Arabidopsis thaliana: one gene and its partners. The protein of the gene in region 1 interacts with the protein of each later gene in a pairwise test. Each region holds a gene or a part of one and is shown in the gene's direction. Other genes may lie near its edges. The genes, in order: ESE3, ZFP5, MAF1 and GATA4.

Region 1 (4,747 bases):
TTGTGTGTGTAAATCTGACAAATTTGCTTCAATTACAATTTATAAGGATGATACCTTGTTTAATCTATTTTTTAATGAACATTGTGTATTTATTTTGTTGTTGTTCATTGCCATGCATTTGGGAGATAGATATTGAATACTTTTTCTCTTTCAGAGGTATGGTACTAGTTGAAACTTGGAAGATTAGTCATCACTACTCACACGTGCCAAAATAGTAGCAAAGAGACAAAATCCTCAATGCAACTTAAAATAAAAACAGTCTTTGTTATAGCTAGCTAGCTTCTCACCCTCACATGCTTTGCTATATTGTTTGATCGACCAATACAATTAAACCACGTATGAAACAAAGAATAGTTACCTAAGTAAAAGCGAATATGTTAGACATATCAAAATTATTTTTGTTTAATTAAAATTACAGTTGTAGTAATGTTGTTATTTCAAAGGTACATATATATTTCCATTATGTAACTTGCTGATATTAGCATTCAGTACCATCCTTCTTTTACTACACCACCGAGAGAGATAAGTTACTTTCTTTTTTTTCGTTTTCTTATGGACATGGATGCAAATATACAGACAAAAAAAAGCATATGTTGAATAATTATTAGGGTTAAGAATGATTATTAGTAGGGTGAAAATGATCAATTATTTGATAAAAAGTTAATGACCTTCTCTAGTTGTTTTTCTTGTCGTCATAATTGCGGTCTAGGATTCTTTCATCAATTTGATACTGGATTGAACTAATAATATTTGGCACTTGTTATTTTGATGTATCCATTCTACCTACACACTCTTTTGCCCAACATATTCTTCTATTACCTCTTATTCCAATTATAATTGACTCTAAAAGGATATAGTCTCAATTGGAGATTATTTTTTTTTTAAATATGCGTGCGACTGAATATGATCGACATAACCTTTACTTTTATTTGATGAAACTTTGTCGAACAAAAGATAAATTGGCAAACAAAAACATCCATATATAAACCCAAATAAGAAGTGGTTACTATGTGACATTCCCTATACAATTAACATATACTACTATCTAAAAATTGTAGATAAGTTTATGCAATATTATACTAATTCCCTCTCCAAGTTTCAGTAATGGGCATAATCACATATTTATTAATTATTAAACCTATGTTTTTAATTGAAAAATAATGTATTAGAGTTTTTTTTTTAATAGGTCGCAGACTCGTAGGTAAACTGTACACTCAGAAATCATGGGTATGATGACAATACATTAAGGTTTGTTTCAATAATAACAATACAAAATAATATTAAAGAAGGGAAAAGAGAAGATGATAATCGAAGATGGTTTTGGGTGTTTGATTGAGTCATTATCAAAGGCTCACATGGGTGAAGAATGGTGATGAAAGAGTCTCGCTAGTTATCAAACTATATATTTTCCAATTATTTATCGTTATTATTAATTAGTTGGGGAAAAATTTGGCAGTATCTATGATATAGAGACATGTTGTGATGATCAAACCCATGTGAAAATAGGTACAGTGGGTTTGAAGTTTCACCGCAGCCAAATCTCTTTGGATCCAACTTGTTCACAATGGGAAAATTAAAATAATTGATAAATATATATGCTATATACGTAGGGTTGTTATTATATTTAGAGCTATTTATTAGTTTTATCTTAAAAATACCCCATAACTTAGGATATTATAACTATAATTGTCTAAGTATAATATGTGTAACTTGGGACAAAAGGAAAAGAAAAAGGTTTGGATTAAATTATCTTAGGTTTGATTTCTAAACCGTTTTAATTAATTTATATTTGTTGATAAAAAATTAGCTTTTGTTACAGAAATAAATTCATATGAAACTATTGAACATTTGTAATTTTGTATTCTAACAAAAACTGTGATAAGTTTGTTAATTCATAATTTAAATTCTATTTTAACTTTTAGATAAATTACGATAATACTTTCCAAAAAATATCTCTAAATAAAAAAAACACTTTTCCGACAGTTTAGCATGTAGTTTCGAAGCTTTCAATTTTCACTATAATATGTGACAGAATTAGATAATCCATTTGCCCATGTCGCAGCAACTTCGAATACAACAAATGAAGTAAATTTAAGAATACTTTAAGTTAAATAAATTAATATAACTCTCTCTCTCACATCAAACAAAATCCATGAGATTTTCTGAGTCGTATTGGTAATGGTGTGGGTCCAATTTAGGACCAAATTGATTGCCAGTTTATTGCCAAAGAAAATTTTAACACAAAAACATTTCTCTCTCTCATGAAGCTAAAGCCAACACTACTTATATAGCTACCCTTCACTCTTCCAAAAACGCTCCTTCACTCTCATCATTCTTTCTTCTTTCAAAACATTTCCACAAACACACCAAACTCACCTGAAACCCTATTTCCATTTACCATTCACACTAATGGCACGACCACAACAACGCTTTCGAGGCGTTAGACAGAGGCATTGGGGCTCTTGGGTCTCCGAAATTCGTCACCCTCTCTTGTAAAAACTCTCCCTCATCATCCTCTCAAATTACGAAATTACCCTCGGTCGCTTTTTATTTGAGTAATGCTAAACTTTTTTGTTTTTTTTTTGTTTTTTTTAGGAAAACAAGAATCTGGCTAGGGACGTTTGAGACAGCGGAGGATGCAGCAAGGGCCTACGACGAGGCGGCTAGGCTAATGTGTGGCCCGAGAGCTCGTACTAATTTCCCATACAACCCTAATGCCATTCCTACTTCCTCTTCCAAGCTTCTATCAGCAACTCTTACCGCTAAACTCCACAAATGCTACATGGCTTCTCTTCAAATGACCAAGCAAACGCAAACACAAACGCAAACGCAGACCGCAAGATCACAATCCGCGGACAGTGACGGTGTGACGGCTAACGAAAGTCATTTGAACAGAGGAGTAACGGAGACGACAGAGATCAAGTGGGAAGATGGAAATGCGAATATGCAACAGAATTTTAGGCCATTGGAGGAAGATCATATCGAGCAAATGATTGAGGAGCTGCTTCACTACGGTTCCATTGAGCTTTGCTCTGTTTTACCAACTCAGACGCTGTGAGAAATGGCCTTGTCGTTTTAGCGTATTCTTTTCATTTTTATTTTTGTTTCCACAAAAACGGCGTCGTAAGTGATGAGAGTAGTAGTGAGAGAAGGCTAATTTCAAGACATTTTGATCTGAATTGGCCTCTTTTGAAACACTGATTCTAGTTTCTATAAGAGCAATCGATCATATGCTATGTTATGTATAGTATTATAAAAAAATGTTATTTTCTGATTTTTCTCCATGTAAACCAATTGAACACTTGAAACCAAAAACTAAAAATTACACATGTGTTCGTGTGTGAAAAAGTGGGAATTTAATGTAGTGAAAAGATACAACAATGAGAAGAAAGATATCTAAAGTAGTGAAGAGAGATGAGAGTTTGAATATTTTGAGTTAGCTTTTGGTTTTGTTCCATGCATGTTCTAATTTTTCAACGGTGGGCCTTCATTTTTTTATTTTTATTTTTGGTAATTTGGGATTGCTGCTAAGTAGAAAAAGAGTGTCCCTAGCTGTGGCTTGACGACCATAAAATCCAACTTTTTAATTAGAGGGATTTGTGTTTTCTAGCACCTTATATTAAAATAGAAAAAATAATTTAGCTACATAAAATAGGTGTTTGACTGCAATTACTCTGTTTCCTTAGAACACTCTGTTCTTCGAACAGTCCAAACCTATTATTTATTTGTTTTGTTTGTAATGCGAATAAAAGGAAACTAGTGTTTTCCGACCACTACTTTAACTTTTGTAACAAAATATGATTTACATTTACTACCTTAAGGTTGAATACGAAAATAAAAATATTCTCTAGCAAAGAATGGAAAACATAACATGAGCAGGCTTTAATATATCCTTGACGATCGGTTGATTCTTCTTGCATACATATACGCGATAATATAATATCAGTTGTTAGCAACAAGCCAAAATAGCTAAATAATGGCAATTCAATATGGTTAAAGCTCGTTGCGATATAACCAGTACACATGCAATGCATCTAAATTGCAGCAGACAAATGATTTGACGTTAGGAATTATTTGGATTTAAAGATTTTCTTGCCACCTTAATTATTTGCATGCAATAGATGATTTATTTTTCGACACAATAAATTTGATAATCCTTATAGGTTTTTTTCTTTCTTAAACAACAAATCTGATCATTCTCAAATTAACTTGCTATATTACTCAAATTACAAGCACAAAATTGCATGACCACTTATATTTGATAAGGTTTCTTTTCAAATCGTGAAAAACTATTTTCTATTAAATCTACAGATGATTTCTTTGCATGGTACAGATAATTTGTTTGTAGACATAGATTTCATTATTCTCAAGTTTAAGATGACAGAATCTCAATTATTTCTCAAATATTGTTTTGTTATCATACATAAATTCTACAATTTAATTCCAAAAGTAAATTTTTGAGGTGAAAGAAATACAGTTTTTAAAGATGTTCCAAACTATTTAACTCAAAGTTCCGTAGGAATGCATGCGATCACAGTTGATTTGGTAACAAGTGGAAATTGACTACGTGACTATGTATATTCTCCGAGATCCATTAACAACAAATAAAGTAAAAGAAGAAAATAACCAGTTATATGAGACAAAATGTGTCAAAACAATATTATTTGATACACATTAGAATCTCAACGTGATATTATTTTTTTGGATCGAGGTCTCTATCGAATAAACCTTATAATGATTATTCGAC
Region 2 (5,491 bases), on another chromosome or scaffold:
ACTTAATTATCTTCAACATAATTAAAATGGTTAGTAAATTCAACCTGTTTTACATAAAATAAAATAATAAAATCTAGTCCTACTTAAATTTCTCAATTCATCTCTAATACAATCTACATGCATGTGCAAGTTTTTGTTTTTCACTTGCACATGTATACCCGTGTTTGGAACTCTCAATAAATCTTTTTACAAGAAGAAATCTATATATACGTAAATAACTAAATATGTTGTATACAATGTCTCTGTTATGAGAAAAATAGAATTGGTTAATTAGTATTCTTTCTATGTCTCAATGCATGTATTATTATATGTGATACGTACTTCGGTACCTGGCACAGCCCATGATCATATGATATAACTTTCCTTTAAAAGAGACAAATACGACAGCTAACCCTTTTTGGTCAAGACTATAGTTAAAACTTAAACATGGTCAAGTTGCATAAGTTTTACGGACACCGTATACTACTAACTAACGTTTCAGAATGGTTTTTGAATTAGTGTAAAGTTGTTTGATACTTCGATGGCAATATAATATATACAAATATATATGTAACAATTAATATAGAAGGTGAGGTTGATATATATAATTGGTGTATATATATATATATAAGTTCAGTATATCAAATATTATAGAAACCAACCCACCCACCCACCTAGTAGCCACCATAAAGAAACTTTCAGAAAATCATAATTAGCTAAAATTATTCCACATGCTATTGGATAAATAAAAGATTATCGTTGACAGCATACTTATTTGGAATTCTTCTTTCCCTCGATTGATATAATATTACAATTTCTTACTTCAAAATTTTAAATAAAGGACCTGAGCGAGAGGAAAGAGGCTTTGATTGCATGAGACACCTATTGGTGGCAAGAAAGTCTACCAATCAGAGATCTTAGGTTGTACGAGTGAATATAATTATAACACCTAATAAGGATTAATTATTGTTATTTCACTTAATTGTCTTGATCTATCTTTTAAGTTACAGAGCAGTGGGGTCCTTAATTGGAACAACTGTCCAAACCAAATGCCATTTCATTAGACTTATTTGTATTAAAATAAGATTATCCCATGACTTGATTCACCTGAAAATAGAATAATCTATACCTTTCTTTAATATCAGTTTTCTTTCTGTATAAAATATTGTCTTCTCATGCTTTATGAAGATTTGCCCAAGATCTTGTTTTGAAGATTAGACTTATGAATATAATTTTTATTTGTTAAATAGTATAGATGCTTGCATCATTGCCCACTTCTTGTATTCCTTCATTTGGCAACTAACTATTCTCCCTGTTTAATGTAATAAGTAATTAACATTCATTAAACATGGTCAAGATAGGCTTTTTCTTTCTTTTTCACAGTAATTAGACAAATAAGATTTGGTTTAGGTGGAAGACATTGAGATAAATTACAAGAAAGCTTCAATTCATGCTCCATCATCAATTCTCTCTGCGAGCAACTTTAATTGATGGGAAATTTCAAAAATCTACAATGATAATTACATAAAAACACATCAATAAAAAGAATATCCAGTAGACTATTAACTTTGTTAGAGAACAAGGGACGACGATTCGTTTGATTTCGTTCTTGTTGCAATATGCTCTTGAGTGAACGTTTTGATACAAAATGTCATCTGCTCGCTTAAATTTATGATGGATATATGCGTTATTCAAATACATAGTGAAATTTAATATCATTATGGGATCAAAATATTATACTTAACCTTCCATGTTGATTATATTTTTTGGCCTAAGTTGGTTAGCCTTATTTCTTCATATCTTTCTTTGACTTTTGATATTAGATCAATAATATGATATTAACATCTTAATGTTCTCTTTAAGCTTAGAATATAACTTTTGTATTAATTGTCACAAGTGGTGTGATCGCTGCATGCCTTTTCAAATATATTTATTTATTCATCATATCTCAACTTAATCTAACTATTTTATTCACGCACTAAACAGAAAGTATTTTTCCACAATATTTAAAATAAATTAAATTTGATCAATTTTAAGTAAATGTAGATATAATAGTATAATACATAAGATAAAAGATAAAACAAGTTGACAAGTTAAGTCTTTATATATAGTATTTAAAAGATTTCTCTAACCCGTTTTATCATTTTGCCCTTTTTCTTTCCCATATATGCATATGCGCGTGGTATCCACATATATCTCTATAAAACCTATTACATGTTAGTGTAATATTTATTGTACCTATCAAGGTTTATTTTCCAAGATCATTTCTCGTCACACCTTAGATTCAAACAACTAATTTTATTATAAACCCTAAAATACTATAACTTGATGCTGTTCATGACTAATATAAAAAACCCTTCATACAATATAAAATTTCTTTAGACATACAATATATTATACTATTACAGATGCAATGCATCATTAGTTACAAACTATTAAACTAAATATCCCCCGTCTCTCTCTTGCTATATAAAGAAGATCATTTACACATCTCCTTAAGCAAATTAAACCCATCGATAAACACATACGTTCACACATATATGTCTATAAATCCGACAATGTCTCGTACTGGCGAAAGTTCTTCAGGTTCGTCCTCCGACAAGACGATAAAGCTATTCGGCTTCGAACTCATCAGCGGCAGTCGTACGCCGGAAATCACGACGGCGGAAAGCGTGAGCTCGTCCACAAACACGACGTCGTTAACAGTGATGAAAAGACACGAGTGCCAATACTGCGGTAAAGAGTTTGCAAATTCTCAAGCCTTAGGAGGTCACCAAAACGCTCACAAGAAGGAGAGGTTGAAGAAGAAGAGGCTTCAGCTTCAAGCTCGGCGAGCCAGCATCGGCTATTATCTCACCAACCACCAACAACCCATAACGACGTCATTTCAGAGACAATACAAAACGCCGTCGTATTGTGCATTCTCCTCCATGCACGTGAATAATGATCAGATGGGTGTGTACAACGAAGATTGGTCGTCGAGGTCGTCGCAGATTAACTTCGGTAATAATGACACGTGCCAAGATCTTAATGAACAAAGCGGTGAGATGGGTAAGCTGTACGGTGTTCGACCGAACATGATTCAGTTCCAGAGAGATCTGAGTTCTCGTTCTGATCAGATGAGAAGTATTAACTCGCTGGATCTTCATCTAGGTTTTGCCGGAGATGCGGCATAACAAATTAAAGAGAGATATATGATTAAGATTATATGTACTATAGTGGCGTATTTCATTGGGATCATGAAGGGGAAAAAACGAGACATATAGTATTCTTGATGCAATTTGAGTTTTGTAATTTATTTAGGTTTATGTATGTTTTCGAAGAAAAAAATAATTCCAAGTGATGTTGTGGAATTATTCAAAAAAAGAAAAAAAACTTTATTAGATGGCTTTACTAGAAAATTCTCGATCATCATCGTCATCCGATACAAAATAAAGTCAGGTAGAGGATCGAGCATTTATAAATTATGGAATAACAATAAATCGTACTATGGAAGCAAATCATTTTCTTGTTCCTTAGTTTGCTGACCGTACATATACTAGTTGACAAGGTTAATCCATAAATCTCTTTGTATCATTGTGTGCTGTGTTTTTTTTTTTTTTTTTTTAATACTGTGTGCCGTGTTGGTGCATTTGCGTAATTGATGGAGGCAACATTTTGAACATAATCACTTTCTTGTTGCTTAATTAGTGTATATGGCCATGGGTACGTTCTTCCTATTGGTACATATGCATGTATTTATATTACAAGGTGAGTATTCGTTACAAGTTGTGTACATATGTTCTTACACGTGCAATTCGTACACGCCTCAATTTGATTTATAGTCAAATTTCAAAAAATTTGTTAGAAATTTCATCTCAAAAGTTATAATATGATCTAACGTGAGACTAAAAAACATATGTGAATTTGAATGATATAAACTTGATGTTTTTTTTTAATAACCTATATACTTATTGTAGGTACAATCCAACGATTTTATGAATGTTGTATTTTTTTTGTATACACTGTAAAGACGATTTTATGTCATGGCTATTAATATAAGAATATACATTTTAAAAATAAGATTTTAAACTGATGTCTCTTACCAATCTCAAGACGAGTACTTGTGATTCTTCGGAGACAATGAGAAGAGTTTGTAAATTCTGAATACTCCTTAAACGAACAGAATAAGTGAATTTAGTGGTGGATATAACTAGCTTGACTTTAGATCTTATTCTTTCAAATAGATTTGGTGTAAGATTGATTCGACATTTCCCATTAAATCTCCAAACAAATATGTGCATCAATTCGTAACTGTACAGCTTTAAAAATACATATAATAAATGGAGTCGGCAGGTTTGTATATTAAATTAATTTGCGTGATTGGAATGATAAGCTTAAGATCCATCATCCAGTGTTGGAGGTCCCTTTAATTTTTGTCTACACATGTCACTTCCGACACCAACGGAACTCCATTTGCTTATGTGTGTATTGGATGCTTATCCCATTTAATTAAAAAAAAAAATGTTTTTAAAAGGTATTATTCCTTTATTGTCCAATTCGTATGTTTCCTAATTTTGGTAAATATGTTTTTGTTAAGTTTGAAACATCGTTCCTTGCATTACGTATGAGTAAATCATACACGAGCGTATGACCGAGTTGGAATTTACGTAATGACAGATAAATTTGTACATTTACGACATATAAAAATATGAAATCAACCTACATATCTCTTTTTTCCTTTACTATTCTGAAAATTCTAGGTTTTTGACGGAAGAAGTGAAGGCTATAATCACAGAATGGAGGACTCTGTCACGCATTGTGTTCTAGTATGCCATATTTAACACTTGTCAATATGGCTTCGAAAACCGATAATTTTCCCTAACTAAAAATAAAATAAATCTAAGTGGCCACCTAAATGTGTTTAGTTATTATCATACATGCATGCAACATTTTATCATGGCATGTGAAATGTAATCATAATGGAGGATAGACTGCTTACTACTTAAAACAATAAACCACTAATTATCAGTTTTGAAATGATTTATTTTTGTTTAAAGAAGAGATAATGTTATATAATGTTGTGGGAGACAAAGATAGATCCAAGCCAGGTAAGGTTAGCTTGTTGATCTAAATTGATTAAAGCATTTGTTGAACAAGACTTCGCCATCTGTACCACCCATTCTTCTTTCAATTATGGATTATAATTTAGTAAATATCATATATATGCCTCCATTATAACTTTTATTATTGACATTATTGCTTTCTTAAAAGCAAGTTTATTTATCAAAAACTATTGATTGGTCATTGTGAAACGTTATATTTGACCGTCAATAAAACTATACATAACGCAATACATACATTATTATATCAGGTAAAGACTAAGTTATATTAGTATCTTATAAAATGACAATAACATGTTCTACGTAAAAAAAAAGGACAAGGATTATCGGTTACTTTAATAGTTTGAATGATTCTTGATCTAATAATTAAAACATTGGCGTTAGATGTAAGTTTTTGAAATTTAAATTGA
Region 3 (8,481 bases), on another chromosome or scaffold:
TTCAATCTTTGGTAAAGAATCAACGACTCAATGTTTTTAAATGTTTTTTTTCCTTTTTTGGTTTTAGTTAAGCTTCTTGCATTCTTTAATGATGTCTTTATTATACTATCAAAATTTTGCAACTTTACCAGCATCTGCAATGATGGGTATATTAGGAGCTGACGCACACACCGACCTTGCCGTCGCAGCCATCTCCGGTGGTCTAAAACGACGAAAGAACACAAATAAAACGAAAGCATACAAACAAAAAATTACTAAAGAAAGAAAAAAAAAAAGGTGGCGCACGTTAGCAAACCGAAATCGGGTTTTCCCAGGAGAGAAGCGGATAAGGCGTAACCGGATATAAAACCAGCGGAGAATCCGGTTTGCTGCACAATAGCCGCGGATAAGGCATCGTAGCATCCAGGCATAAGCACAATGCCTTGTTCTTCAATCAGGCGATGAAAACGTGTTTGGATTCTCGCTGTCGGATTCACCAATCTCGCCGCGCGTGGGTTCCGTCGGAATGTTGGTGAAGCTGTAAGGTTTAAGCTGCTACAACAGAGTGAAGTTGTTTTGACAGCCATTAACATCGACATTCTTCGAAGCCTCGAACAAGTTTTTTCTTCTCTCTAATCGAGTTAGACTCTGACCCACACGCTTGGGATTTTAATAGAGAGCACGTGGTTATTATATCTCGGTCTTATCTTATGGTAACAGTATCTCAAAGACTCAAACCACAAGGTATTGTGAAAATGTTAGAGGCAATCTAACAATAAATGTATAATTTGGTTAGCTTAAGCTCATCATAGAAATGGGCCTTTATGTCACCAAACCTATTTCACAACATAACACAAGAGCCCACAAAACAACGACTCCTTTCTCCACCAGAACAAGCACGACAAAGGCAAGAGAGTTGCAAAAGACCTATAAGATGATAACAATCGAAAAGATGTAAATTTTGAGAAAAATCAAAATAAACAAGAAAGATTTCATTGTTTTTCACTTTTTCTCCATTTCTACTTTGATTTTACATACTCTATGGGCCAACCAATTTCCAACCTAATGCTTGATAAAAAATGATTCGGTTTTACTATCTCAACAAATTGGGCCTACAACATCCAATTTCATGTAGTGACTTGTTTTTGCCTTTTTCACATCTCAACAAATTGGGTCGTTTGTATTTAAGAAATTGTTACAGCTTTTTAGACTGAATTTTACTTTATGGCTTTATGCTCTCTTTTTCCGTTTTGATTAAGGGTGAATATGTAAACTGTTGATACCATCTGATTTTTTTTATTTTTTATTTTTCTTGTGTGCAACTATACCATCTGAATTCAATTGACATTTTAGCCAAATAAAAAAGATTGGTCCACTTGGATGGCTGTAAAAAAGTTTAGTGGAAGTATTTATAGGGCTTGTTGGCAATCTTCACCAACGGCTATAATGTTGATCTTTTTAAAATTAAACTTACCGTTCGACTGTCTTCTCAACGATTTGACAATTAGCCGTTAGATTAGTATTACTGATTTATTATTAACAAACCCATTTCTTTTCTTATTTTTGAATAAGCTAAATCAGGCCAATAAAAGGGACAAGTAGAGATGGGCTATTTCTTTTTTTCTCTTTTTTTTTTTCTTATGTAGTAGAGAAAAGCCTTTATTCTTAGAGCTATCATTTACCACCCATTAACCAGAAGCTGAGAAATGAAGCAAGCCGAAACGAATTTGTAGTTTTGGACGGTGAAATTATATCGGGCCTTTAATGGGCATGTGAATAGAGTTGAGAGTCTTTTTGCCCCAAATAATCGTTTAAGGGAGTATTGGCTCGTTGGTTTAATATTGGGCCGAAACGAGATTGGGAAGAAGAACAATGTCGGTTTAATCCGGTTAGGGTCGTGGGCTGATTCTGGTTCACCTTTATAGCGTAAGCGAACAAACATTGAAAATGGGGAAGCCAAATTAGTTACCATCCCTAACTCAGTTTTGAGACGTAGTATGAATGAGCCACGGCAGAACCTACGACCTAACTCGATAAAGTAATGGTTACTCTTGGAGACGGAAGAAAGCACAAAGATTTTGATAAGGCTTTCTAGTTGGTGAAATGGTCAAAATCGCTCGGAGAGCCATCATAGGAGCGGGGAGGTGCTATCTGAATATCCCAATGCATCAAGACAAGATGGATTCAGAAAACAAAGAAATTAAACAAACATTTTAAAATATGCTCTTAGTTTTAGATAATATAATGTTTTCAATACCAATTATCTTACACTGATAGTGGTCAAGTTACTAATCACTTTTAATAAATTGGTGATAGTCAAACGTATTGAAAATTATCGATTTAAAAATATTTGAATTCAAAACCATTTTAGTGAAAGTTTGCATTGTAGTTTTGATTATCCGATCAATCTTTAATATAATTACGTCAATAATAACTGAAATCCTTGAATTAACCGTTACCCGATTCATAAGCACTACTTTCCGATCAAAACCAATGAGATAAAATAACTTTTAAACCCTCCAAATAAAAAGAGAAAACCTTAAAAACCAATTTCTGTTCGGTGGGGATGATGATCGGACTCGGACCGGTCTAACCGACTGGATTAAAAAGTCTTTAACAACGACAAGCTTAAAAATTTGCCTCTTAGTGGCTTCAAAACGCAATCGTTTCGCTTAATACTATTATTTTCTCTATCTCGTTTAACCAAAAAAAAAAACGAGTTGGAGGAAAAAAAAAACCAAGAAAAAAGAATAAAAAGCAAAAAGCATTGAGCGTCTCCGGAGATTAGGATTAAATTAGGGCATAACCCTTATCGGAGATTTGAAGCCATGGGAAGAAGAAAAATCGAGATCAAGCGAATCGAGAACAAAAGCAGTCGACAAGTCACTTTCTCCAAACGACGCAATGGTCTCATCGACAAAGCTCGACAACTTTCGATTCTCTGTGAATCCTCCGTCGCTGTTGTCGTCGTATCTGCCTCCGGAAAACTCTATGACTCTTCCTCCGGTGACGAGTAAGAAGATACTTTCCTTTTCTGGGTCTCACTCGATTTTTGTGCTTTTTTACTTTGTTTAATTACTTTCTCCATATAGAAGCTTCAAATCTAGGGCTTTTTGATTCCATCAAATCAACTGAGATTTTCTCCTTGTTTTCTGTATGAAGATAGCAGATGCGTAAGCTTTAACCTAATTTAAGACTAAACATTTTGATCGCCAAGATATGTTCTTGATGTTCGTTTCGTGTTTTTTTTTTCGTGTTTTTTTTTTTTTCATTTTAAAATCATTTTTATCTCTTTTTTTACCTTCATTTGTGACGAAATTTAATATTGCATGTTATTCAAGAAACTTTTCTACACGTGGTGATTCGTTCTTGATGTTGTTTAAGTAATCTTTGTATTGCTAGTTCCATCTGTTGTTCACTTTGAAGCTTCGTTTTTTCATATAAGAAACAATATGTTTAGATTGTTCAAATTTTGAGATTTGGTAATTATATTCAATATTGCAATGCACTTCAAGTAGTTTTGTTGAGAGATTATTTGGGGTTAGTGGTAACATTAATCGAATATCTTTGGTTCAAATTGGTTAACACATTGTACTTTATGTTGATCCAAAATGTATTGTAGATCTTTTCTTTTGTAATTCTCTTTAAGGAATAAGGTTTATCTAGTTGATTTTGATGGTTTATTGTAGTGCTGGGATAAGTTTCCACATTGATACTCGCCACACATTCTTCATTACTTAACTAATTGGATATCGATTTTAACCCTTTTAATCGTAATTTGTTGTGTGTTTATGACACCATACAAGATACATTATGTCTTACTGAGTGACTCTTTGTTGCTCTCTAAGATGTTGTAGTTTGGATTTCTTTGCTAAAGAAACTCAAACTATAACTGATTTTACTGCTACCATATATATGTCAGTGGCCTAGTAGGTTCATTAAGTAGAAATCGGTCGCCAATTTTACTAATTGGGAGAAACCACTAGACTACAACCAAATGTTCAATGACTTTAATAGTCTTCTGTTATTTGTCGTGGATATTTTTAACCCCATGAACTTTTGTATCTAGAAAAATCTCATCCACTTCTCTTTTAGAATACTTTGAATGCGACTAAAAGTGAGTTTTTTTTTTCTAATAGACCTAAGATAAAATCATCAATGGATAAGTAGGAAATGGAAAGGTAACTCTTGTCAGTATGTGTATATATACAGCTCCTTCTCATTTCCTTGATGTTGACTCCATAAATGCTTGATCATGAAAGCAAATTTGTTAAATTTGTAACCAACAAAATGCACAGACTATAGACGAAGTATTAGGAACCGTATCTATCTGTCTCCATTTTACAATAGTCAAGCTCTAGTTGTAGCTAGTTTCTTTATTTAGTTCTTATACCTTAACAAAGTGGCACTATGCAAAGTGTTTTTAGTTGAGATTAGTCGTCTTATGCGTCTTACTAATTGTTCATTTTTTCTTCTTTTTGTGATTGATGTAAAATTACTAAGTCACAACTTGAGATGTTACTAAAAAGATAAGAACGTGTAATAACTGAAGTGAATTTGAAGCCAGTCTCTATTCATATCATAGCATTAATAGATCATGGACAACACATATATAGGATTAGAGCTGTCATGACCTTCCCGGAAATGCTAAATCAGTTTCTTGGTTTATCCTTTTTGGAGTATCATGATATCATTTAGCCAAAGGTTTTTGGTTTCAGTATTCCGATTCGTTTGACGTTATGTGTGAAAGCGTCAATAACTAAAACTTGGATTGACTAGTCAAAATATAAACTGATTGCATTGAATTCTTGAAAATTTTCCCTTAAAATGAACATGAATTTCATCAAGATTTTGTCTTTTGGAAGGATGTGATTTATAATCTATACAATCATACATTTTGCATGATATTAGTTTTTTGAAGAACCAAAAATAGAGCTTCTTTATAAAACTGATTTAGCCTTGATAAGAAAAAGAAGGTAGATAATCGAACTCATGGGGATGAGTTAAAAATGTGTGCACTTAGTTTCTAAAACCTTTTGAAGTCGAAACAATGACAATATTGGCTGCGAAGTTGATATATAACAGGATCTTAAAGTTGAAATTGTAAATTCAGATTTTAATTTTAGAGCACCAGATGATCAGAGTTTCAGATTTACATTTGAAGTATAAAACATTTTGAACACATATATCTAAAGCAGTAACTTCAAAAATAGGGTAACTAATAGTAACTTACATTGTTTTTTTTAATGCTTTTATACTTACTATCATTTTTATATATAGATGCCTGGTTAAGTAAAGATGATTATCAAAAACTGTTGGTTAGTAACAGAAATTGTTGCAAATGTAACATATTATATAAGCTTTCTTTCACTTTGGTGCATTCTCTCTAAATAATGGCCTCTATTGATGCAGTATCTGATTCTTAGTTTTGAAATGGTTTTTGCATAAATTATTGTTCTAATGCATTTTTGTTTTATCTCCAGCATTTCCAAGATCATTGATCGTTATGAAATACAACATGCTGATGAACTTAGAGCCTTAGTAAGTAATTAGCTAAGAACGTCATTCTAATATTCTTCTGGATGCGGTTTTTGGTGTTATGAAGGATAGAAGCGCTGTTCAAGCCGGAGAAACCTCAATGTTTTGAACTCGTAACACCGAACTTAATTCTCTAGAGTTACAGTTATTGTGTCTACTGGAAAATACAAGAACTTCACAATCTTTCTGACCATTCCTTTTCTTCATGTGCAGGATCTTGAAGAAAAAATTCAGAATTATCTTCCACACAAGGAGTTACTAGAAACAGTCCAAAGGTTAGCAGTACGACACATTTTTCTCCCCTCTTCTTCTGATAAAAAAAATGTTTTTTTTCTTTTGTCTACTTGTGAATACAGCAAGCTTGAAGAACCAAATGTCGATAATGTAAGTGTAGATTCTCTAATTTCTCTGGAGGAACAACTTGAGACTGCTCTGTCCGTAAGTAGAGCTAGGAAGGTATATGTGCTGCTACTAAGTGATTCAACCAATTACTCCACAAAACCTTCTTTTTAGTTAGTTATCCTAGAACAATCTTTTGACATAAATCTTAATGTCTTGTTATAGGCAGAACTGATGATGGAGTATATCGAGTCCCTTAAAGAAAAGGTTAGTGCTTTGGTTTTTATTTTCGATAAAGGCCATATTCTAGGCTATGATGATTCTTGAATTCTATTAACCTGCTGAGTCTACAGATTACTATATATATATATATATATCTTTTGGTCTTGTCTTAGTTCCTGATTTAGTATTGGCTTCATTCAGGTGAAACCCTAATGAGAATTAAAAAAACAAGCAGTTTTAAACTCTTGATCAAATCCAACCTTTCCCTCATAAAGTGTCGAATTTGGATGAGGATGATTTATGTTTCGAGAAGGAAACATGTTTGGAAATAGCTATAGAAGTTGTTAGAAACTAATGACCTTATGATCTTTTCCAAACAGGAGAAATTGCTGAGAGAAGAGAACCAGGTTCTGGCTAGCCAGGTAACAATGACCACAATATCTTCTGCTCTTGAAGCTAATTAATCACTTTATACGTCCCCGTTATAGAGAGATACACATATACACGTACATGAAAACTAAAAGTTGAAGGACTTTGATGGATACTAGACAATTATAGTGAAACCCTAAATATGTGATAAGTGATAACAAAATGCTTTTAAAATCTATCTTTCTTGTTAATTTAGTAGCTGTCAGAGAAGAAAGGTATGTCTCACCGATGAAAGATACTCAAAACCCGGTATTTTTAATTTGTGAAATTTGCAAATAAAAAAAATGCTTTCTACAAGATAGATTAATTTCTTGCAATGTTTAGTAGCTGTAGAAAAAAAAGAAATGTAAGAAAGTTTCTTACAGATGGGAAAGAATACGTTGCTGGCAACAGATGATGAGAGAGGAATGTTTCCGGGAAGTAGCTCCGGCAACAAAATACCGGAGACTCTCCCGCTGCTCAATTAGCCACCATCATCAACGGCTGAGTTTTCACCTTAAACTCAAAGCCTGATTCATAATTAAGAGAATAAATTTGTATATTATAAAAAGCTGTGTAATCTCAAACCTTTTATCTTCCTCTAGTGTGGAATTTAAGGTCAAAAAGAAAACGAGAAAGTATGGATCAGTGTTGTACCTCCTTCGGAGACAAGATCAGAGTTTGTGTGTTTGTGTCTGAATGTACGGATTGGATTTTTAAAGTTGTGCTTTCTTTCTTCAGCGTGAAGAACCCTAGACCTTCTTATTTCTTTTTTTTTTTACTTTTTTTTTTTATAACTTTAATTATTTGATTATTTGTCTTACATTACGTGGCAAAGTTATTTAGTTGCATCTCTTTTAATTTGATCAAAACCATATCAGATATTTTGCTCTTTTTTCCAAGTTTAGTGATTCTGTTTTTGAGAGCTCCAAACTATATAAGATATTTTTCACCTTTTCCAAGTTTTATTATTTGTGTTTTTGAAGAACTCAAAAAAGCCAGCTTTTGAACTCTGTTTCATGTTTTGGTTCTTTCTGATGAATCCAGATCCATACAACCGTATGCCAAACTCACTGCTCGTATGTTGTTTAGTATAATATTACAGGATTCTCAACTTTTTACAAATACACATTTATGTACCGCTCTTTGTGTTCTTAGTCTTGAGAAACACTTGAGTAACTTGTTGAAGATCTGATATATCCAAAAAAGTTCTAAAGTCTAAACAATGCGGAATGAACTAGCTATCCTCTTCAGATCCTTGTAGTGTCTCTTCCATTGAAGACCTATAGAATCAAACATAAGCAGAGCAATTAACTATGTGTACAAACCAAACAAAAGGTGTTTGCTCTGTCTTTAAATCTCTGACTAGAAGAGAGGTTTTGCCTTACCGTTTCCGGTGACACTGAACAAGTAAAGGCGGTTTCCGGCAGCTGTTGCAGTTATCAGTACATGAGGCGGCTCTAGCTCGAATTGGTAATAGAGTCTACCATCGTGTTCTGCAACATTGGAACTTAACACCTTCCCTTCTACGTTTTCTCCAATAACTTCTGGTCCAAACGCGTTAATCACCTTCGCTGGTTGTCCAATATTTTCAATCTTAACATCGTCCCCGAGGTCTGTATAAGTGGAACACACAAATCAATCAATCTACGAGTACAAATAGACAAGATTGCATTGCCTATATAACTCAAAAGAGTAAAGTTGATGAATCTTTAATAGCAGAGACAACTTACTATCTGCAAATCTAAGAACAGGAGCTACAATAACAGACAAACGGCCTTCTTTAGGACTAGCAAATCTCAAGTCAATCTCGGTGCCACCAAGATCAGCGATCGATACAGGTACCTAAATTTGATACAACAATGAAAAGAATCTCAAAGTATGACTAAAAACCATAGAAACGAAGAAACAAGAGCCAAGGGACAAAACCTCATTCCAATCTTGAGGAACCGAAAAGGCGTAAGGGATAATAGGACTCCAACCAACACCATGCCC
Region 4 (5,421 bases), on another chromosome or scaffold:
CGGACTCTCAAGTATGAGTCATATAGTAAACGAATAAACGATATTCAGAAATGTTGCGACTATTATAGGAAAATATATCACGTCATCTTACGATTACGATTACATTTGTTTGTAGTAACTAAAAACCTAGTATATATAAAATCTTTCAAAGCCAATTCTCGCTTTTTTGTTTTTGTTTTTCTATTACCTTCTTCATGGCTTCGTCTTCTTTTTTTTCTTTTCTTTTTCCACAACTTCGTCTTCTTTTATCTTGTACTTTAACTACAACAAATCTTCTTTATCTTCGAGGAACGTGAAGATGAGAACGGTCCCCACATGCAGCCACGTGGATTTACCGATTAGTCTGTATTTTTCTCTTGTAATACTTTTACGTAGATATTATAAAAATATTTTCAGCTTCAGAACTTTTATGGATAGGCCAATAATTATTATTGTCGGCTTCGTATCATAAATCACTAATTTATAAGCCAAACAAAACTCTACTATAGAAAGAACGTTCATAGGACTATCATAAGAAGAAGTGGATTTGTTGCTTTTGGACTAGCATCATTCTTAAGGTTTATGTTAGCTTGCTAATGTTCTTAGATTTGGATTTCGAGCTTTCTTGATATCGGCTTGAACTTTATGCTTTGTATTTTTAGTGTATCTTGATTCCATTTTAGTTTCCGGAGAATTCACTGTTTCTTCCGGCTTAAGCCAAACAAAACTCTACTATAGAAAGAACGTTCATAGGACTATCATAAGAAGAAGTGGATTTGTTGCTTTTGGACTAGCATCATTCTTAAGGTTTATGTTAGCTTGCTAATGTTCTTAGATTTGGATTTCGAGCTTTCTTGATATCGGCTTGAACTTTATGCTTTGTATTTTTAGTGTATCTTGATTCCATTTTAGTTTCCGGAGAATTCACTGTTTCTTCCGGCTTATGACTTTGGGGACTTTTAGTTGTCCGCTGACTTAGTTTCCTTCTTTTGGGCGTTTGGTTTCTTGTAAGGTTCCATCTCAAGTTCTAATAAAATTTCTAGTGACAAAAAAAAGAAAAAAGAAAGAACGTTTGTGGAACAGACCAAACACTTCAACACGTTGCGCCACGCTATTCTGCGAACCTTCAATCAGTTTATATACAATTTTGTTATTTTATGAATTATGATGATATATGTGACTTAATGTATTATTTTGTATTAAATTTTAACAAATTCATGTATTGCAGTTGTAAAAGAGAAAAGAAAAAGGAGTCACTGTTCTCACATCAAAGCCCTGCAGAGATATTTCTGTGTACTCTTTAAAACTGATGCCTCCATCCAAAGTACAATATTGGAATATGTTTTTACTGCATATACACGCAATGTATTTACCTAAATTCTAATTCAATTGTACCTTGTAATTAGATGGTTAAGACATAAGAAATCAGATACATCTGCCCGAATTAGAGCCTTATGATGATTGGCGGTGCCACATAAAAATTGAACACAAGATAGTGATGCATATGAATGTTTATATTTTAGCCGAATATGAACACAATGTTCGCAACAATTGGTTCCCCATTCTTTATATCATATGCATGTGCCGTGCGTGTTTGTACATATATGAGTAGTTTCTGTATAGTTGAAAAACTGAATAAATTAATGAAGGAGCAATGCATGAAAGAGACATAAGAAGATAAATGATAGGGAAAAAATATGTATATATAAACCTAAAAAGAGGGCCATAGGAATTTATAGAACCAAAGTGCAATGCACTTCGGATCGTCGGTCGACTCATCTCCTTCATTGTCTCCATCCATTTTCCCATTCCCCACTACATTTTTATAGTTATCTCTTCAATGTTTAAAATAATATGTCAAAACAACTCTTTATCAAAACTAAATTTTCGTTACTTCTGGTAGTAAGGATATTTCTAAACGTTATCACATTAGTTATTAATCAAACCTGTGAAAGACATGCTAGGTTACTGAAGAATGATATTAGATACTTGTGTACACTCTATTCTACAACGATCGAAGCTAGTCCCACTTCTGTGTCTCTTTCTTTTTCTGTAAGTGTGATTGCAAAATGCGAAATATTCATGTAAGCACAAGAAACAAGATAGTTATACATTCGCATCACTTTGTATTAATAAATTGTTGAGCCAATTTTGTTCTCTATTTCCTTGTTTTGGTCATGTTGAAATTCAACTCTATGATTGATTACACATTCCGGAGAATATTATTTTATTTTCTTTGAACAAGAAAACATAAAAAAAAAAAAAAACTCAACGGGATACTAAATGATCCAACTCACAAATTTCAACAAAATTAAGAAAAAAAATCGGAAAACCTTTTTAGGAGATGGCAGAAGAATTTAATTAACAAAAGGGAGAGAGGCTTATTGAAAAAAATAAAATTAGTAACCTTGCATTTATTTAATTTCCCCTTCATTACTTGTTTAAATTAATAAAACTATAGACTATGATCTATAATGAGTTTATTGCAAATAAGGCATTTGTCTTAGATATATATTTTATTTTAGGCACTTTTGAAATGATCTTTAGATTTAGGCACTTCTTTCCTGGGGAAAGTCGTTTTTACCCTTACAGAGAGATGATGTTGTTCTTTCTTTGTTGATGAACTTTTACGTTTTACACTAGAAATCAAAAATACTTGCGACCAACACCAACAACTTTGGAGTCATTGATTACAGAGTGATGTCAGCGACGATTGGAAATTCAGACGACTAACAATCGGTCCTCATGAGATGTGAATGCGATCTAGATTTTTAACATCCCACATTTTGAGATCTGGAAAAAAAAAACAAGAAACAAAAAAGTCCCACGATTTAGTATTACGATTTGCACGTTTTTTTGTTCAGTGATTTTTGTGCAGGTTAAGGAATTCAAGAAGTGATTGATACTTTGTTGATTGCTCAATTGATGTTCATAATCATGTCTACAAGTACATTGATTTTTGTTCATGTTAATGGTGTTTGATGATAATGAGGATGGTTGTAGTGTTGTGTTATTGTGTGTATGTAAGAATTGCATACTCTATATTTGACGGTTTGGGTTTACAAGTCTAATTCTAGGGTATAGCGTTTACCATTGACGCCGTTCGTTACCCCTCGTTGTCAAAGCCGTGAACCACCACCAAATCTTTGTGCTATCGTCAAAGCTTCATGCCTACCGTCGAAGCTGCAAGTCCACTATCTAAGCCATATATCTTTGGATGTCAAAAGAAACTTAAAATTGAATCAGAGATGGGGATACAATTTTTAGAAGATAAACACATTCTTTTCACCTCATTCTCAACTCCAGTTCATAGTTTAAGGGCAAAAATGTCCGTAACAATAAAAATTGAAGTATTATATGCTTTTACTGTTTAGAGTGTCTGTTTTGAAAGAAATGTTTTCAAAATGCTTGTTTAGAATATAAGCTCGATCTATAATATATGCGTTTTTAAAAAAAGACTAGTATATGCATTATGTAATTCATGGTTAATTAATCCTCTGGTAAGTAAATTAAATAGCACATGCATGTTCAAAGAAAAATGTAGACAAATATATTAAAGTGGATAAATAAATAGAAAAAAAGGGAGTGGTCAGGTCAGTCTCGGTGCATGCTAACTCTATGCACGTTCTCATCTTCGTCTCTTTCCTCACTTACACTAATTCTCTCTCTCTATATTAAACCTCTGAACCAGTGACCACATACATACTCAGTAAGCGAGTCCGAGTCAACAATGGACGTCTACGGCATGTCTTCACCGGACTTGCTTCGTATCGACGACCTTCTCGATTTCTCCAACGACGAAATCTTCTCTTCCTCTTCCACCGTCACTTCCTCCGCCGCTTCCTCCGCCGCTTCTTCCGAAAACCCTTTCAGCTTTCCTTCTTCCACCTACACTTCTCCTACTCTCCTCACCGACTTCACTCACGATCTCTGCGTTCCCGTACGTTTTCAAATTTCAATTTACCCTAATTTTGATTTTGATTTTGAATTTCTAAGTTCTGATTTTGAGTTTTGCAGAGTGACGACGCAGCTCATCTCGAATGGTTATCGCGATTCGTTGACGATTCATTCTCCGATTTCCCAGCAAATCCTTTAACCATGACCGTTAGACCCGAGATTTCATTCACCGGAAAACCTAGAAGTCGCCGATCAAGAGCACCAGCACCTTCCGTAGCTGGAACTTGGGCTCCGATGTCTGAATCAGAGCTTTGTCACTCCGTCGCTAAACCTAAACCGAAGAAAGTCTACAACGCTGAATCGGTTACGGCGGATGGAGCGAGGCGGTGCACGCACTGTGCCTCGGAGAAAACGCCACAGTGGAGAACTGGACCGCTTGGACCTAAAACACTTTGTAACGCTTGTGGAGTTCGTTACAAATCAGGGAGGCTTGTACCGGAATACAGACCGGCGTCGAGTCCGACGTTTGTATTGACTCAGCATTCGAACTCTCATCGGAAAGTTATGGAGCTCCGGCGACAGAAGGAACAACAAGAATCTTGCGTTCGAATTCCGCCGTTTCAGCCGCAGTAAATTTGGGGGTTTTCTTTTCAAGGGTTTTTGTGATTTGGTGACGTGTCGTAATCTTAACGGTGATGATCACGTGACCGACGGGAGGGGTTAAGGACTTAATTATCAGTATTAGTTTAAAGTTTGCAAATCTCTGCTAATTAATTTGTTGGTAATTTCTATTGATTTTTTTCTTGCTTTTGTTTATTGGTCTCACGGCTCTCCTTAAAGTTATATCATTAAATGATTTCATTGGCGGCATTTAATTTTCCTCTTTTCAGATATAAAAGCTTCTCAACCACCATGGACTCTGCTTTTTGTGACTTATGATGTTATATCACACATGACAATGCTGGTTAATCTTCATACATACATCATACATGTTACATGCTTGAGAATTTGAGTTTTTGGCATTTCACGAGGCAATTCAGTTTACTACTTTCTTAAAAAATAGTAACCTAAGCCATACCAAACCTAACTCTCTCTGGTTTAGGCTATTCAAATCTAACAATTTTTCGCTTTATTCCATCTGAACCAAAAATTACCAATACTCTTATACAAAGTGCTTAAACCTCTTATAAATAAACTAAACTGGTTAGGCGGTAACACCGAAACAGAACAAACAAATGATCTGAAAATTGAACCATAATGTGGTGTATAGTGTCACCGTTATTCAAATCCAGAACCCCGACAGACCGAATCCTAATAGAAACCAAAGCAAGGTCTTAACATTAAGATATCGAACCAGAAATACCATACAAAACTAATCTAATTTGGTTAATTTTCCGCTTAAACTATCAACTAAACCAAGCCAAGAAAAAAGAGGATCAAATATATGTATAAAGAAAGACAAAAATTCAAATATCAAGAAACTGCAAAAATGTTGAGGTCAATTGAGACTACTCAAGAAAACAACAACAAAACTCAAAACATGAA

Evidence for each region.
Region 2: the proteins of ESE3 (region 1) and ZFP5 interact in a two-hybrid assay, tested with the Arabidopsis thaliana proteins (one large-scale study listed by BioGRID).
Region 3: the proteins of ESE3 (region 1) and MAF1 interact in a two-hybrid assay, tested with the Arabidopsis thaliana proteins (one large-scale study listed by BioGRID).
Region 4: the proteins of ESE3 (region 1) and GATA4 interact in a two-hybrid assay, tested with the Arabidopsis thaliana proteins (one large-scale study listed by BioGRID).

Annotation. Positions count from the first base shown.
Region 1 is NC_003076.8:8,705,318-8,710,064, reverse strand, and holds ESE3 (Integrase-type DNA-binding superfamily protein), read left to right. Parts: upstream 1-2,179; 5' UTR 2,180-2,409; coding exon 2,410-2,492; intron 2,493-2,595; coding exon 2,596-3,058; 3' UTR 3,059-3,320; downstream 3,321-4,747.
Region 2 is NC_003070.9:3,447,215-3,452,705, forward strand, and holds ZFP5 (zinc finger protein 5), read left to right. Parts: upstream 1-2,476; 5' UTR 2,477-2,519; coding exon 2,520-3,155; 3' UTR 3,156-4,012; downstream 4,013-5,491.
Region 3 is NC_003070.9:28,952,872-28,961,352, forward strand, and holds MAF1 (K-box region and MADS-box transcription factor family protein), read left to right. Parts: upstream 1-2,650; 5' UTR 2,651-2,807; coding exon 2,808-2,992; exon of another isoform or gene 2,993-5,439; coding exon of another isoform or gene 5,440-5,462; coding exon 5,463-5,520; intron 5,521-5,584; coding exon of another isoform or gene 5,585-5,630; intron 5,631-5,730; coding exon 5,731-5,973; intron 5,974-6,081; coding exon 6,082-6,123; coding exon of another isoform or gene 6,124-6,183; exon of another isoform or gene 6,184-6,279; coding exon of another isoform or gene 6,280-6,291; exon of another isoform or gene 6,292-6,458; coding exon 6,459-6,500; coding exon of another isoform or gene 6,501-6,542; exon of another isoform or gene 6,543-6,706; coding exon of another isoform or gene 6,707-6,739; exon of another isoform or gene 6,740-6,872; coding exon 6,873-6,974; 3' UTR 6,975-7,240; downstream 7,241-8,481. Other genes in the region: AT1G77060 (Phosphoenolpyruvate carboxylase family protein), read right to left, coding at 129-202, 286-578; AT1G77090 (thylakoid lumenal protein (Mog1/PsbP/DUF1795-like photosystem II reaction center PsbP family protein)), read right to left, coding at 7,705-7,769, 7,875-8,102, 8,220-8,331, 8,416-8,481. UniProt on the Arabidopsis thaliana protein: Probable transcription factor involved in the negative regulation of flowering time in both long and short days, probably through the photoperiodic and vernalization pathways. Prevents premature flowering.
Region 4 is NC_003074.8:22,369,639-22,375,059, forward strand, and holds GATA4 (GATA transcription factor 4), read left to right. Parts: upstream 1-3,374; 5' UTR 3,375-3,709; coding exon 3,710-3,919; intron 3,920-3,996; coding exon 3,997-4,509; 3' UTR 4,510-4,916; downstream 4,917-5,421. UniProt on the Arabidopsis thaliana protein: Transcriptional activator that specifically binds 5'-GATA-3' or 5'-GAT-3' motifs within gene promoters. May be involved in the regulation of some light-responsive genes.